Pelodiscus sinensis: one gene and its partner. The protein of the gene in region 1 interacts with the protein of each later gene in a pairwise test. Links are inferred from orthologs where the notes say so. Each region holds a gene or a part of one and is shown in the gene's direction. Other genes may lie near its edges.

Evidence for each region.
Region 2: the proteins of CEP57L1 (region 1) and KLC3 interact in binary tests that used the Homo sapiens proteins (3 or more experiments, as listed by UniProt). The two-hybrid records come from large-scale screens. The link is inferred for Pelodiscus sinensis from reciprocal best matches to the Homo sapiens genes CEP57L1 and KLC3.

What each region holds. Positions count from the first base shown.
Region 1 is NC_134713.1:77,741,465-77,748,577, forward strand, and holds the start of CEP57L1 (centrosomal protein CEP57L1), read left to right. Parts: upstream 1-4,110; 5' UTR 4,111-4,141; coding exon 4,142-4,324; intron 4,325-7,113. Other genes in the region: SESN1 (sestrin-1), read right to left, coding at 730-1,014. UniProt on the Homo sapiens protein: Centrosomal protein which may be required for microtubule attachment to centrosomes.
Region 2 is NW_027465849.1:7,074,078-7,081,481, forward strand, and holds the start of KLC3 (kinesin light chain 3), read left to right. Parts: upstream 1-4,387; 5' UTR 4,388-4,496; intron 4,497-5,254; 5' UTR 5,255-5,267; coding exon 5,268-5,525; intron 5,526-6,557; coding exon 6,558-6,785; intron 6,786-6,996; coding exon 6,997-7,072; intron 7,073-7,404. UniProt on the Homo sapiens protein: Kinesin is a microtubule-associated force-producing protein that may play a role in organelle transport. Plays a role during spermiogenesis in the development of the sperm tail midpiece and in the normal function of spermatozoa.

The sequences.
Region 1 (7,113 bases):
GTTGCTATGACTATGGCTGCGGTGCTACCCCGACAGGGGCCAGACCTGTGAACCCTTGAAATAGCCACAGCAACCCTGTGCTGCTGCCAAGCAATGCAGTATAGGCTGGGCCAGGATCCATGAACCATTTGCTGCATTTTTTCTTCAGGGTCTCTGGCCTCAGACAACACAATCTGTCTTGATTTTATACTAATAAGACTGACTTAGTCACAACCCTAGTAACACCTGACAATTATATTAAAATAACAATTTGGGCATATGCTCTCCTGAATGTACTTGTGCCCCAACAATAAACCCATATTTCATTGTGAAAATTTGCACAGGAATTCACTTGCAAAGGGAGCTGATTATGTCTGAGGACACCACTTACTTCTTTATAAGCAGATTACTTCCTTATCGATGTTATGCACTCCTCTGACAGATAAACTTTGCCAGTATTTTGGTTAGTTATGTCTCAGGACAAATTATATAAAGTTCTTCAGAAACTAGCTCTACTGCCAGTTTAATATTAACGTGATCAGTCTGAACTGAACACCACAATACAGTCTAGACTCTAGAGAGTACAGTTCAAAAACGAAAGCTTTCCTGTGATACAGCTGAAGAGGCACTATATCTTTATACTGTTTTCTACATCAAGATAACGCCTATTAAAAATATGAGGTACTCTAAGCTGCTTCAGAGATAAGAAATAGGAGGGCTGTTTGTTGGAAGAGGCACCGGGACTCTTACCTGAACACTGCTTAGAATAGACTCACTCTTCTCCCTGACGTTTCTAAAGGGGCATCTCTGGGAAAGCATGAGGAGGCGAGCCAGCATCTCATTCAATCTGTCCGGAACTGTAGCAGAAGCCAAGCATCCTTCCGATGGCCCAGGAGGAAGATCCTCTTTTACAGGTGAGACCTGGGCTGTTCTCCTCAAAACAGCCTGCCGGATGTTTTCCAAGGCAGCATCTCTGGTGCTGGCATCCCTGCTGCACAACCCATCCCACCTCACCTCGCCCTCTCTCTCCTCCATCCTCCCTCGGCTCCAGGGCGCCCCAACCTTCACCAACTTTGCCTCGTGGTGCAGGAGCAGCAACAGCGGTTGGAGATGAACAATAAAGCCCGGGCCCAGCCCATGGAGGGCACCCCCAGCCCGCGGGCGTCCCCCGCGGGTGTCGAAGTTCTCGCCGTTAGAGCCGCCACGCGCCTCGCCTCTCCGGACAGACGCGGTTCTGGGCACGGGGGGCCCGGCCTCCCCACACCATGACAGCGCGGGCCGGCAGCCGGCAGGCGAGGGGGGTATGAAGCTTTGTTCGGGCTGGAGCCTGGTCGGCCCCTCTTCCCGCGGGGTCCGGCGGCGGCAGCGACGGGGAGGGAAGCGGGGCAGGGCGGCGTGTTTGCAATCGCCGCACAGCCGGGGAGATTCCCACGTCCCGGCGCAGGCGGCTCGGCTTCGGGGTGCGGGCGGCTCCCGGCTCCCGCTTCCAGGGCAAGGCGCGGGCAGCGCGACAGTCGCGTCCCGGGGACTGCAGGGCGCTCGGGCAGGGGTAGCTCGGCGCCGGATAGACCCAGCGCAGGAGCCAGAGCGAGCTACACAGGCCCCGCCCCCTTGTGCCCGGGGCTCCGCCCGCCTTCTCCTCCTCCCCGCCATCCTTCAACGACCACGCCCACCCCTCGCCTAACTGTAAAATCCCAACCCCTCCTGTGCCCGCTTGTTGACAGACAAGCCTCCTTAGCCAATCGCGTTTCAGAGACATAACTTGAAACCAATGACAATGACAAAGAGGCGGGGAATCGGGCTGGGCGGCCACTCTCTGCTGCGAGGTTCACTGGGATTTGTAGTCTGATTAAGCCTACAACTCCCAGCAGGCAATGCGCACAGATCTGCCCGTGGGCTGGAGTTGGACTGGGTCATAATTGCCTTGGTGTTGGGCCAGAGAAATTACGAGTAACGTAAACCTAGTTTCAGTGCTTCTCCCTTCTCTATCCCCAGGGTTATAGCAAGGGTTGGGCGGAGAGAGGGCAAGGATGAGGAATCAGGATGCCTGAGTTTTATTTCTGGCTCAGCCACTGACCTACTTTGTGGCTTTGGACAAATCACTTTACCTTTCCATGCATGTGTATTCCTGTGCTTCCAACTCCTCTGTGTCTGACTGGTTTCTAAACAATTCAGGATAGAGTATGCTTCCTACTATGTATTTATATAATAGAGTTGTCAACTCCTTTATCTTGCTTGGGTGCTAGCTCTGGGCTGGGGCAAGGGGTAGGAATTCAGGCTATGGGAGGGAGTTTGGTGCAGTAGGGGATGTGGGTGCAGGCAGGGATAAGAGGTGCAACCTCCAGGAAGAAGTATGGATGTTGTGTGCAGACTCTGGCCAAGGAAGGGGAAGGTGTGTTGCTCCATGATCTGTGCGCTGCTACATCTCTCTCCTCCTCCCTCCCCCCCACCCAGGGGCCACACAGGGCCACACAGCGGCACATATAGGGCAGAGCGAGCGGGGCGGCTGCCCCAGGCCCCGTGCTTTAATAGGCCCCGCGCTGGCGCCGGTGTTTTTAACCTCTCATCCTCCCTGCTTAGAGCAGGATCGGCAGCCTGGGGCCCGCGAGGGAGCCCAACGTGGCGCTTTGGAAGCTCAAGCCCTGCCCCCACTGCAACAGGCAGCCCGCGCAAGCCCCATGCTGGTCGGGTCTGGCCGCAAGGCAGCAACAGCCCCACCCCCACGCAAAACAGAACAGAACAGCGCGGCGGGGCCCTTTGTGGTGCAGGAGCTGTGAACCAGCAGGGGAGGGTCGCTCAGGGCTGCTTCCACCCCCCCGCACAAGCCCATTGGCTGGACCTGGACAATGGCAGCTGCGGGAACCCACCAATCACTGCTCCCCTCAGGCTTTTAATCCCTGAGCACATGGCCAGGTAGCTCCTGTGGGAGAAATGGGCGAGCAGCACTTTTAGGTAGGTGTCTGGCCCCCCCAGCCACTCCCACGTCTTCACCCACATAACCCTCCTCCCAGACCCTGCACCCCAATCCCCTGCCTTGGGGCACAGTCCAAACCCCTGGCCAGATCCGCTCCAGGCCTGCTGGTCCCCAGCCCGTTTGTGTGATCCCCAGCTGATTTTTCTGTAGAGTCAGTGTCCCCTAACCCAAGAGAGGTTTCCCACTCCTGCCACAAATACAGAGGCCCCTGCTTTATAACAGCCCGCTTTACGATCCTCCCCCTGCCACCACCATTATGACCTTTTTCCGAAGTGGGGAAGAGGCCAAAATCCCCCAACTTATGTCCTTGGCCTATTGTAAATGCAGGCGCGAGTTATGACTAGGGTTGCCCGGTGTCTGGTATTGGCCCTGACAGTCCAGTATTTGTGGCTTCTATCAGGTGGTAAACCCCCAGAAAATACCGGACCAGTAAAATGTCCGGTATTTTCAGTTTTTCTCAACTGGAAAGCCAGTTGGGACATTCTTGCTCTGCCATGAATGGGGTGGAGAGTGTGAGATTTAAAGGTGCCATGATTTTTTTTTTGTGGCGGGGGGTGACTTTTTTTGCTCAACATTTGGACATCCCCCTCTTTTTTTATTAATGCAGAATTTTGTTTAAAAATGAATTACAATATAATTAGAATAAAAATTATCCAACTAAATTAATTTTCTATCAAATTTACCCAATTCACATTTAATATGAAAATAGCCTTCAATTTGTGCATTTGACGCCTTTTTTCCATTTTTTTCTCCAAAGGGGGGCCTGGAGAAATTGTGCTGCCCTGGGCCCCGCAAAACTCTCATCCACCCCTGGGGCCACACACACATGCCGGCAACTGTATAGAATGAGCACTAGCCCCACTACACTGACAGTGTTAATGGCAGGAGCTCCTGGGCAGTTTTAAATTGTCTGGGGGTGGCAAATGGGCCAGGAGGATGTGAGAGAGGTTGCAGGCAGGGCCTTGCGAAAAATTCAGCTCTGAATTTAGTGGAGCCTGACCCGTGACCAGGAATCTTTCTGGTGTCTGGGCAGCACGGATCCATATAACTCATGCCTATGTCTGCGGTTCTCAGAATATGGGTTGGGACCCCCCAAGTGAATCATGACCCCCTTTTAACGGGGTCACCAGGACAGATGTTATACACTTGAACCTCTGTATTCTGGGTGTCCGTCATCCAGGAACATCTATGGTACAGAGGAGAAACTGGCTCTGTGAACTGCCACATCGTCTCCCACCCGTTGAGGGAACAGCAGCATGCTGGGCCACTTACCCTGATGCTTCTGCCCTCTGTTCCCATAATGGCAAGGGGTGGTGCCTAAAAGCGGTGAGGAGTATGGAGCTTCATGTGCCCCTGGGAGTAGGGCAGCAGGTAAGCACCCTATTCTCATCCCCTCACGTCCAGATCCCGCAGTGTCCTCTCTGGCCCAGCAAAATCTTTAATCCAGCATACCCTATTTCCCAGAGTTGCCAGATTAAAGAGGTTCGAGTACTTGCTGGGCCTTGGACCCAAACCCAAGTCCCACTGCCTGGGGCCAAAGTTTGAGTGTTTCAGCCTTGGGTAGTAGGACTCAGGTTACAGGCTCCCTCCACCCCTTGGGGCTGAAACTCTTGGGTTTTGCCCCACCTGCCCAGGGCAGTATGACTCAGGTGGGCTCAGGCTTTGGTCCCCTTTTCTGGGGACATGTAGTAATAAATCAGGATTTAAAAAACAAATGATTTGGAGGTTCTGACTCATGAGTATGAATATTTAGGATTGGAAATATTATTACAGTTGTAAAATGGGATATACCTTGTTATGGGTGGAGTCAGAGGTGAAAGTAAGGGGGGTGCACGCTAGTGCACAGCTCCAGCAAGAACTGGCTAAGCTGTGGCAAAAGCCAGCAGAGAGCTATTTAAAGAGCTGGCAGGGAACCGGCATGCTATAGGACAGTACCTGTAAGAAATGTAAGTTCCTTTAATACCTGGGTGGAGTTAAAACCTTGTTGAATTTGGTATGTGAACATGTCCTTCGCTTAAGATTGCTACAAGGCAAAATTAAAGAGGCCTACATAAAATGCAAAATGGAATTTTCTGAGAAAATATGGCCATATGGGCAGGTGGTTCTACTATGTACTGTTTTTCTGACCAAGTAGCTGGGAAGGCAAAAAATGAACTGGCAGAGATTCAGAGGCAGCAAGAAAACCAACCAGCCACATGAAAATACAACCCTAGGAGAAGGAAAGGTTCTTGGTTGGTGGTGCTCGCAGAAAAATGCTTGAGCTGTAAACAGGCTTGAATGTTTGTTTCTCTCTGAAACTCAAACTGGTCGTGCATGTTTTGTTTCTCTTCTTCTGAGAAGTCCAGTGTACAAAAAGAGAACGTGGTCCCTGTTTTCCAAAGATTGCTTAATCTTCAGCGGTGAGAGAATCGTGGGAGAAAAATTGATGAGGAGTCTTTAAAATTATCTTTATTTGTGTTTCTATTCTATTCCATTTTATGGTCTCTTAGTTGCATGATAAAAATTTTTTTGTTGGATAGCTTAACAGACATCCAGGAAAGCACATATTACTTTCCCCAAAAAGTTTCTCATAGTATGTTTTAGAAACAAATTCTAAAGAAATGGCAAGGCTGTTTCACCTGCCTATGGCAGCAAGTTGCAATAGCTAAACTTCTCGTCCGACAGTCTCATTAAATATTAGATACTTAGAAGGCAAAAACTAATCTGTTTGAAAGTGTTTAATGTGAATGACAGAAGAGGAGGGCTGCACTGAGCAGGGATATGAAAGTTTTGCTGTTTAAGGTTAACTGGTGGAGGCTGGAGGAGCTCCCCACCTGTTTCAGCCCTGCAGGTGGGCCTGCCCCAGGCAGGGGTGGCCAGAAAATTCCTGCCTGCAGGATGCCCTGCAGTACAGGCAAGGGACTGCTCCAGCCCAGCGGTAGGTGGGGGACCACTCCAGCCAGTACGACCCTGGAGTGACCCCCTCCCACAGTCTCCTTTTATCCATTAATTGGTTAAACAACATGTTTAATCAGTTAATCAATTAAATGGAATTTTGTATCCCTAGCATTGAGGCATAACCAAATACCTGCAGATCCACCCGGCGGTGCTGTAATTGACTAACAACTTCTTGAAACAGCTGCCTGCCTCTCGCCCCCTCGCTGCTGCCGCCGCTGTTTACAGGCTTTACCTCCCTGCAAAACAGCGGAGGGTTTGCCCCTTGCCACGCCGTTCCCCACCGAGCCTCCGCCCTCCCTCCGCCCCCACCGGAGGCAGTTGAGGAAAGATAAATTGTGAGCCTGTCACCTGCGGATCCATCCGGAGGTACTGTAATTGACTAACAACTTCTTGAAACAGCTGTCGGAGCACTTCCGGGTTCCAGTTGGTGCCGGACCACTGGATGCCGGACAATTGGAATTTCACTGTATATCTAGAACAGATCTGACAAGAGTTTGTCAAGTCTGTTCATAACAACCCCTAAGGATGGTGATTTCACAATCTTTCTTAGAAGCCTGTTCCAGAGTTAAAGTATCCTTATATCAGAGGGGTAGCCATGTTAGTCTGAATCTGCAAAAGCGGCGAGGAGTCCTGTGGCACCTTATAGACTAACTGAATTCTCTCTTATAGACTAACTGAAATTAGTCTATAAGGTGCCACAGGACTCCTCGCCGCTTTTGCAGTATCCTTATAGTTATAAAGATTTCCTAATAGCTAACCTAAATCTCCCTTGCAGGGGACAGCGTCCCTTGCTTCTTGTTCTACCCTCAGGGGACATAGACAACAATTAGTAGATCATTCTTCTCTTTATAAAAGTCCTTACTGTAATAAAGGCAAATAACAGGTTTCCCCTTGGACATCTTTTTTCAGGATTAAATATGCCTCATTTCTTAAATCTTCCCTCATAGTTCAGGTATTTAAATCTTTTAGCATTTGTGTTGCTCTTCAATCTACCAACGTCCTTCCTCAGGGGCCCCAACAGACTTGTCAAGCCTATGGACCAGGTGTGGGAGTGGAACTCTGTGCTCGTGGAAGAGGTGGGGCTGGGGCAGGGGCTAGCCTTCTTTTCGCCAGCCCTTCAACCCCACTCAGGGTACGTCTAGACTACATGGCTCTGTCGACGGAGTCATGTAGATTAGTGTACTCGAAAAAGGGAAATGAAGCGGCGATTTAAATAATGGCCG
Region 2 (7,404 bases), on another chromosome or scaffold:
TATTTTTGTTTTTCAGCTTCCCATTAGTTTCTTTTCTTTTCTTTCTTTTTTGTTTTTGCTCAACAAGTTTTGTTGCTATGGGGGGGGGGGGGGAGTTTCTCAACAATCAGAAAGGGGGCGTGATGCCAAAAGTTTTGGGAACCGCTGCTTTAAAAGAGCCCCAAGTAGCTGTCTTGTCACAAACCAGGTCTACAAGCCAGATCCACAGGGCAGCATTAGAATTAGAGTTCATCCGCAAAGTCAGTTCACATGCTAAGGGACTGGATGGTGATGAAAGTTGGTTAGGACACGACCAATTTAGCAGCTCTCGGTGTAGCATCCTTCCTGACATGGGAGTCTATCTATTGACTTTGATTCTTAGCTGCTTCAGTTTAACTAGCTAATCTTCTGATACTTATTCTGACGATTCCCTCTGCTTGCTGTCTCCTACCCCTCCCTTTTTCTTCCCGCCCCTCTCCCCTTCCCCTCTCCTATTTATTTTGGGTGTACACATCCTAAACTCATAACTCCGGTCATCTGAAGAAGTGGATTGTGCCCACGAAAGCTCATGATCCCATCTACATGTTTTGTTAGTCTATAAAGTGCTACCAGACCATTTGTTGTTGGTGGGTTTTTTTGGTTTATACCTGTCGCGCATCATTCCAGGAGGCCTTGAGCTTTTCATTTAAAAAAAAAAGAGACTTGATTTTTCAAATCTGGGTGCATAAGGCAACTAAATCCATATCTGAGTCACTGTACGATTTGCAGGGGTGCTGAGTACCTGTGAGTCATAGCGCCGTTACTGAAATCCCTTTTGGTGCGGGGCAGGGATGTGAACGACTCGCCGCCTAATTGCTCCCTGTCACAGTGGTGCCTAAACTTCTCAGCATCACATCCCCTTTTTGATTTTTGAGAAACCCTCACGGCCCCCCCAAAAAATAGCAGCAAAACTTGTTGAGCAAAAAAAAAAAAAAGTTGCCCTTTTAAGAGCAGAGCAGGCTTTGCCCTTTTAAGGTGACCATTTTGAAGTCTACCTGGGACATTCCATCCTCCCCTGATTTTTTTTACGGGAGGGATCGGGCTCTTTCTTGGGGGGAAATTGATGGGGGAGGGTTCGGTCGCCTTGCACCCCCACCCCTGGAATGTTTTCATGCCCCCCCAGGGGGTGCACCCCCCAGTTTGGGAACCTATGCTCTATCAGAAAGAGGCAGCCAGTGGGGGGAAGAGGTAGGGGTGTGACGTAGTGGGGGTACCTGGCTGGTTTCTATGCTGCTGGCTCTGGGGTAACCCCCACTGGCTGCCGTGGGTACCACGACCCAGCAAAACAGGATGAGTCACTATGCAAACCAGTGGCCAGACACCCCCCATGGAGAGGAACAAAGGAAGGGGGAATGCTGCCCTGGCTGGGGGGCAGGGCTGGAAGTTGGTTAGTGAGTTGGTGGCTGTCTGGGAGCATGGAGGAGACAGCCTAGGGAGAGGAGCTGGAGTTTAGGGGCCCAGTCTCCCCCCAACTCAAGGGAGCCTGAGGCATCCTAGCCCAGCTCTGTGACCAGACTACATCTGTGCTGTGCTGTATCCTGGAGAGGCAATAAACTTCCTCTATTCCACCGGCTGGTGCAGTCTGTTTGTGCCATTTCGGGGTGCAGGAGACGGGGGACCCCAACGCACCGTCACAAGGGGTGCTTCAAAGTGGCAGTGCCGCGTGGAGCCAGGGTCAGCTGGGGTCTCCCCTGCTGACCCTGGGCTCCATGTGGTGCTGCGGCTTTGAAGTGTAGCAACAGCCCTGGGATGTAAATTGCATCGACTATTCGATTAGCCAATTAATCAAAATGTTACATCCCTAGCGCGAGGCTTATTGGCAGAGCAGGAACGCGTTAACCCTTTCAATGCTGCCCTCTCGCACGCGTGCAGCGAAGCCAAATGACACATTGATTCTATATTGATGGCTGTGGGTTTGTGCAAAATAAAGTCCTACTTCCTGATTGGCCCCAGACTCCCCATTTCGCACTAACAATCCGGCCACTGAAATGAGCGGAATGCGCCTCTTTTGACACCGGCATACGCTGGGCGAAAGGTTTAAATCGTGAGCTTTGTGTTTCACCGGGAAAAAAAGTCCCGACAACGCCGATGAGAGTTTGCGAAAAAGATTTGCTCGCAACATGAACATGGCTTCCCCCCTTCAGCTGCCATTGCCATGCAAGGAACATGTGTACAGTTATGAATCCCCAAATCATTCGGTTACGGAACGGAACGGCAGCTTTCCGTCTTTCGGATTCAGCTGTACCACGTCTGGGTCATTAGTCCCCAAAACGAATGATGTTTGAAGGCAAAATCCTACAAGTTGGAAGCGGTTCTTTTACTCCCCTTTGGCGAGCACGTGAATAAAAAATTCTAGGGCGTCTATTTCACTGCTTGAACTTACCTGTCAGCGTAATTGACGCAGAACGGCTTTGCCCGGTCAGGCACGCGCCTCCGTGGCTAGTTTCAAGATTTATCTGGACAACCGTTTCGCTTCTGATCATTGTAGCGGAAACACCCAGTTTAGGAAAGGCATCCAAAAAGGGCACCCCAGCTCCCTCCTGACCTTCTGGCAGGGTTCACTCCCTTCGCCCCCAATGAACAGACACCTGTCGGTCAGGTAGTCGTAGAATCATAGAATAATAGGACTGGAAGGGACCTCGAGAGGTCATCGAGTCCAGCCCCCCGCCCTCAAGGCAGGACCAAGCTCCGTCTACACCATCCCTGACAGATGTCTATCTAACCTGTTCTTAAATATCTCCAGAGAGGGAGATTCCACCACCTCCCTTGGCAATTTATTCCAACATTTGACCACCCTGACAGTTAGGAATTTTTACCCAATGTCCAATCTAAACCTCCCCTGCTGCACTTTAAGCCCATTACTCCTTGTCCTGTCCTCAGAAACCAAGAGGAACAAATTTTCTCCTTCCTCCTTGTGACACCCTTTTAGATATTTGAAAACCGCTATCATGTCCCCCCTTAATCTTCATTTTTCCAAACTAAACAAGCCCAGTTCATGAAGCCTGGCTTCACAGGTCATGTTCTCTAAACCTTTAATCATTCTTGTCGCTCTTCTCTGTACCCTTTCCAATTTCTCCACATCTTTCTTGAAATGTGGCGCCCAGAACTGGACACAGTACTCCAGCTGAGGCCTAACTAGTGCAGAGTGACAGACACATGACAGACACATGACATTTACCAGTGCTACCCTATGGCAATCCAGGAGCCTGCCAGCTCTTTCCCCTGCTTGCTTTCACCTTGGTGTGGGTGGCAAAGGGTTGGCCAGCAGCCGGCAGGGCCTGGGCGTCTGCAGGGAATACAAGAGGCCTGGTACCCACAGAAGGGCTCCAGCCCCCTCATTCCCGTCGGGGAAGCAGAGAAACAGCCCGAGCTCTGCTTTTGGGGTAGTCACAAAGACAATTGCCTTGCAAACCAAAAAGCAGGCCACAGGCCCTGGTGTGCCAGCACCGCCGAGATACCCCTGTAGGTACCCACAGTGCTGCAGTTTGCAGGTGAGATGCCCTACACAGCCCCACACCGGCCCTCGCCACGGCACACGGGAGGCTGAAGCTGTGGGGGAAAGGGGCTGCCGACTCTCCTGCATCGGTCGGACGGAGGTTGGGAATGGCCGGCACGGGACTGGCACTGAGCTGGGGGCTGGTGGTAGCCGGACGGATGCTCCCTTCCCCCATCATCCCCATCCCCTCTCCCCCAATTTCTCCCTCCCACTCCTCCACTTCTCATCTCCAGCAGCAGCCTCTGCCTTTCAGGGGAGTCCCGGAGAAGCCGTCCCATGGCCAGAGGCCCCGGTGAAGGGCATGGTCTGGCCGTGCAAAGGAAGCAGCCCCCCCAGAAGGGGCTTGGCCAGAGAGCTGGAGGAGCATGGGGTGGGGGAGGGTGTCACCGGATTGGGGCTGAGCTAGATGCAGGTGGCCGGGGGCTGGCACCCAGGCGGGCCCAGGCCTGTTCCGTTTGGGCCCCTCTAGGCCTCTCTGCAGTCTGGCAGGACGGAGCTGGCACAAGAACCCGGCTCCCAGCCCCCCCCCCACCATGGGCAGAGGGCACAGCCCTGGGGCTAGTCCCTGCCCCACCCCCGACCCATAGGGCCCTGGCCAGCCTCTGCGCTGTGGCCCCCAGGAGAGGGGGGGCTAGATCGCACGATGGCAGGATGTGGCCGGCCCCAGGGCCATGCCGGGGCCCCACGAGCTCACAGCAGCTCCTCGTGGGCCCCCGACCACCGCAGGGAGAGCAAAGGCTGCTCCGGGGGAAGGGGGGCCTAGTGGTTACGGCCCCGGGCTAACGCTCGGGGGCGGAGGAGGCCGGGCGCTCTGCAGGGGGGGCCGCCACGGTGAGCAGCACAGGCGACCCCACCCCAGCTGGCCCCGCCCGGGGGGGGGCGGAGCCCGGTGCATTGTGGGTGCCGCCCATGGCAGCGGCAGGTGAGCGCGGAGCCAGGGGCGGGCGGGCGCGGCGCAGACGTCGGAGGTTCCGGCCGGCAGGTGGGTCCCGGCGGGGTTGGGGGCTCCCCGGGGCGGGCAGCCCCACGCGCGTCCGTGCGCCCTGCCGGGGCTGGTGCGCGTTTGCGCGCGGGAACCCCGTGTGCGCACCCTGCGTGTGCACGGTTCGTGTGTGCGCACGGGCCGCGCGCGTGCCCTGCTGGTGGGCCATAGGCTGCGTGTTGCACTTTTGTACGTGCGTGTGCACACCTGGGAAGGGGGGTGCCGGGCCTGTCCCGCTGGCGCTCCCCTGCCCGTGCGCACCAGGCTGTGGGTGCCCTGTTTGGGTACGTGCGGGCTGGGAGTGCCCGGTGCCTTGTGCATTTGGGCTTGTGCACGGGTGGGGCGTGTTGCTCCCGCGTGTGCCCCGCCTGGGCAAATTTGGTTCTGTGCCACACCAGGTGCCCTTGCTCCGTGCGAGGCTGGTGTGACTGGTTCTCCGGGAAGGGAGGGAACGCAGCATCCAGCTGGCACCCAGACTGGGGCCCTTCCTCCCCTGTGTGGACTCTGCCTTGGGGCGCCCCGTCCCGCCCGTCTGCGCTACACGTTCCCTGCCAGCCCCACTCAGCCCCGCATCCCACCCTTGGAAGGATCAAAGCTCACGTCCTGTCCCACCCTGAGCGCCCCCTTTCGGGCAGGGCCCCTGCCCACTCCAGGGGCAGAAGGGCGCCGGGCCTGGCTCCAGGGAGCTGGGAGGGAGAGGGGCGCAGGGACCGCCCTGGCGGGGGAACGGCCGTGCTCAGGGTGCCCGCTCCCCGCAGGCTCGGCCGTGCCATGTCCGTGGTGGCGGAGGCCGGCGAGAGCCAGCCGGCGAGGATGACGGCCGATGACATCGTCGCTGGCACGCGCCAGGTGCTGAAGGGGCTGGAGGCGCTGCGGAGCGAGAACCGGGGCATCGCGCGGCGGCTGGAGGCGGCCCTGCTTCAGGGCCCCGGGCCGGAGGGGCCCCAGGTGCTGGAGCTCCTGGAGGAGAAGTACGACCTGGTCCGCAAGTCGCTGGAGGGGATCGAGCTGGGGCTGGGCGAGGCAAAGGTACCGGCGGGGCTGGGCCAGCACCCCAGGGCAGTAGAAAGGCGGCTGGCTCCAGGAGCCGGGGCGGGGAGCCCCTGGTTGTTGCAGCCCCACCTTTCCCAGTAGGGGGCGCTGTGGGGAGCAGGGCAGGGGCACTGGCTGGGGGGAGCTCCTGCAGCCCCAGCCTGTCCCAGTAGGGGGTGCTGGGGGGAGTCCCAGCTGCTTTAGCCCCACTTCCCAGCAGGGGGCGCTGGCTGGGGGAGGGGGAAGAGCTTCTGGCTGCTGCAGCCCCAGCCTCTCCCAGCAGAGGGCACTGTGGGGAGCAGGGCAGGGGCACTGGCTGGGGGGGAGCTCCTGGCTCTCCCAGCAGGGGGCGCTGTGGGGAGCAGGGCAGGGGCACTGGCTTGGGGGGGAGCTCCTGGCTCTCCCAGCAGGGGGCGCTGTGGGGAGCAGGGCAGGGGCACTGGCTGGGGGGGGAGCTCCTGGCTCTCCCAGCAGGGGGCGCTGTGGGGAGCAGGGCAGGGGCACTGGCTGGGGGGGAGCTCCTGGCTCTCCCAGCAGGGGCCGCTGTGGGGAGCAGGGCAGGGGCACTGGCTGGGGGGGAGCTCCTGGCTCTCCCAGCAGGAGGCGCTGTGGGGAGCAGGGCAGGGGCACTGGCTGGGGGGGAGCTCCTGGCTCTCCCAGCAGGGGGCGCTGTGGGGAGCAGGGCAGGGGCACTGGCTGGGGGGGAGCTCCTGGCTCTCCCAGCAGAGGCCGCTGTGGGGAGCAGGGCAGGGGCACTGGCTGGGGGGGAGCTCCTGGCTCTCCCAGCAGGGGGCGCTGTGGGGAGCAGGGCAGGGGCACTGGCTGGGGGGGAGCTCCTGGCTCTCCCAGCAGGGGGCGCTGTGGGGAGCAGGGCAGGGGCACTGGCTGGGGGGAGCTCCTGGCTCTCCCAGCAGGAGGCGCTGTGGGGGCAGCGACTGGGGGTGGGGAGCACCTGGCTACAGCAGCTTCAGGGGGCCGGCCTGGCAGGGGAGGAGGTTTCCCTGCTGAGCCCGGCCCTGCCCTGGCCAGATGCTGGTGGCGCTGGCGTCCCACCTCGGGGCGCTGGAGGCCGAGAAGCAGAAGCTGCGGGCGCAGGCCAAGCAGCTCTGCCAGGAGAACCTGTGGCTGCGGGAGGAGCTGGCGGGGACCCAGCGGCGGCTGCAGCAGAGCGAGGAGATGGTGGCGCAGCTGGAGGAAGAGAAGAAACATCTGGAGTTCATGAACCAGCTGAAGCAGTACGACCCCAAGGAGGAGCAGGTGAGGCCCGGAGTCCCTTAGGCTGGGGGGCAGGAGAGGTGGGGCTGCTCCCCCGCTGGAATGGGGGGAGGACCCTAGGGGGCACTGTGGCCAGGTCCCCCCTTGGCTGACCAAAGCTCTGGGCAGGGAGGGGCCGGGCCTGGGTTTAGGGCTGTGGTGGGGGAGCCCAGCCACGCCCCTGCTTGCCCCAGCCGCTCCCCTGTCCCCGTAGCCGGAGGAGGTGGCCCCGCGGCGGAAGGACAGCCTGGCCTCCCTGTTCGCCAGTGACGAGGAAGAGCAGCGGCAGGGTACGTGCCGGGGGGGCTGGCAAAGGGGCTGTGGGGCTGCCGTGGGGCCGGCTCACTGCCCTCGGCTCTCTGAGCGCCCCCCCCCCCCCCCCAGCCCCTCGGTTCCGCCCTCAGGCGCCCGGCCCTATTGGCGGGATTGTTACCAGCGCCAACCAATTAGCTAGAGCTTTGAACCAGGCTGTGCACCCAGCTCACTTGGCCCGGAGTACCCCCTGCCTGCCCCCCTCCCCACGGCATCTGGCCCGCAGTACCCCCTGCCTGCCCCCCTCCCAGGCATCTGGCCCGCAGTACCCCCTGCTGTCCCCCTCCCTGGCATCTGGCCCGTAGTACCC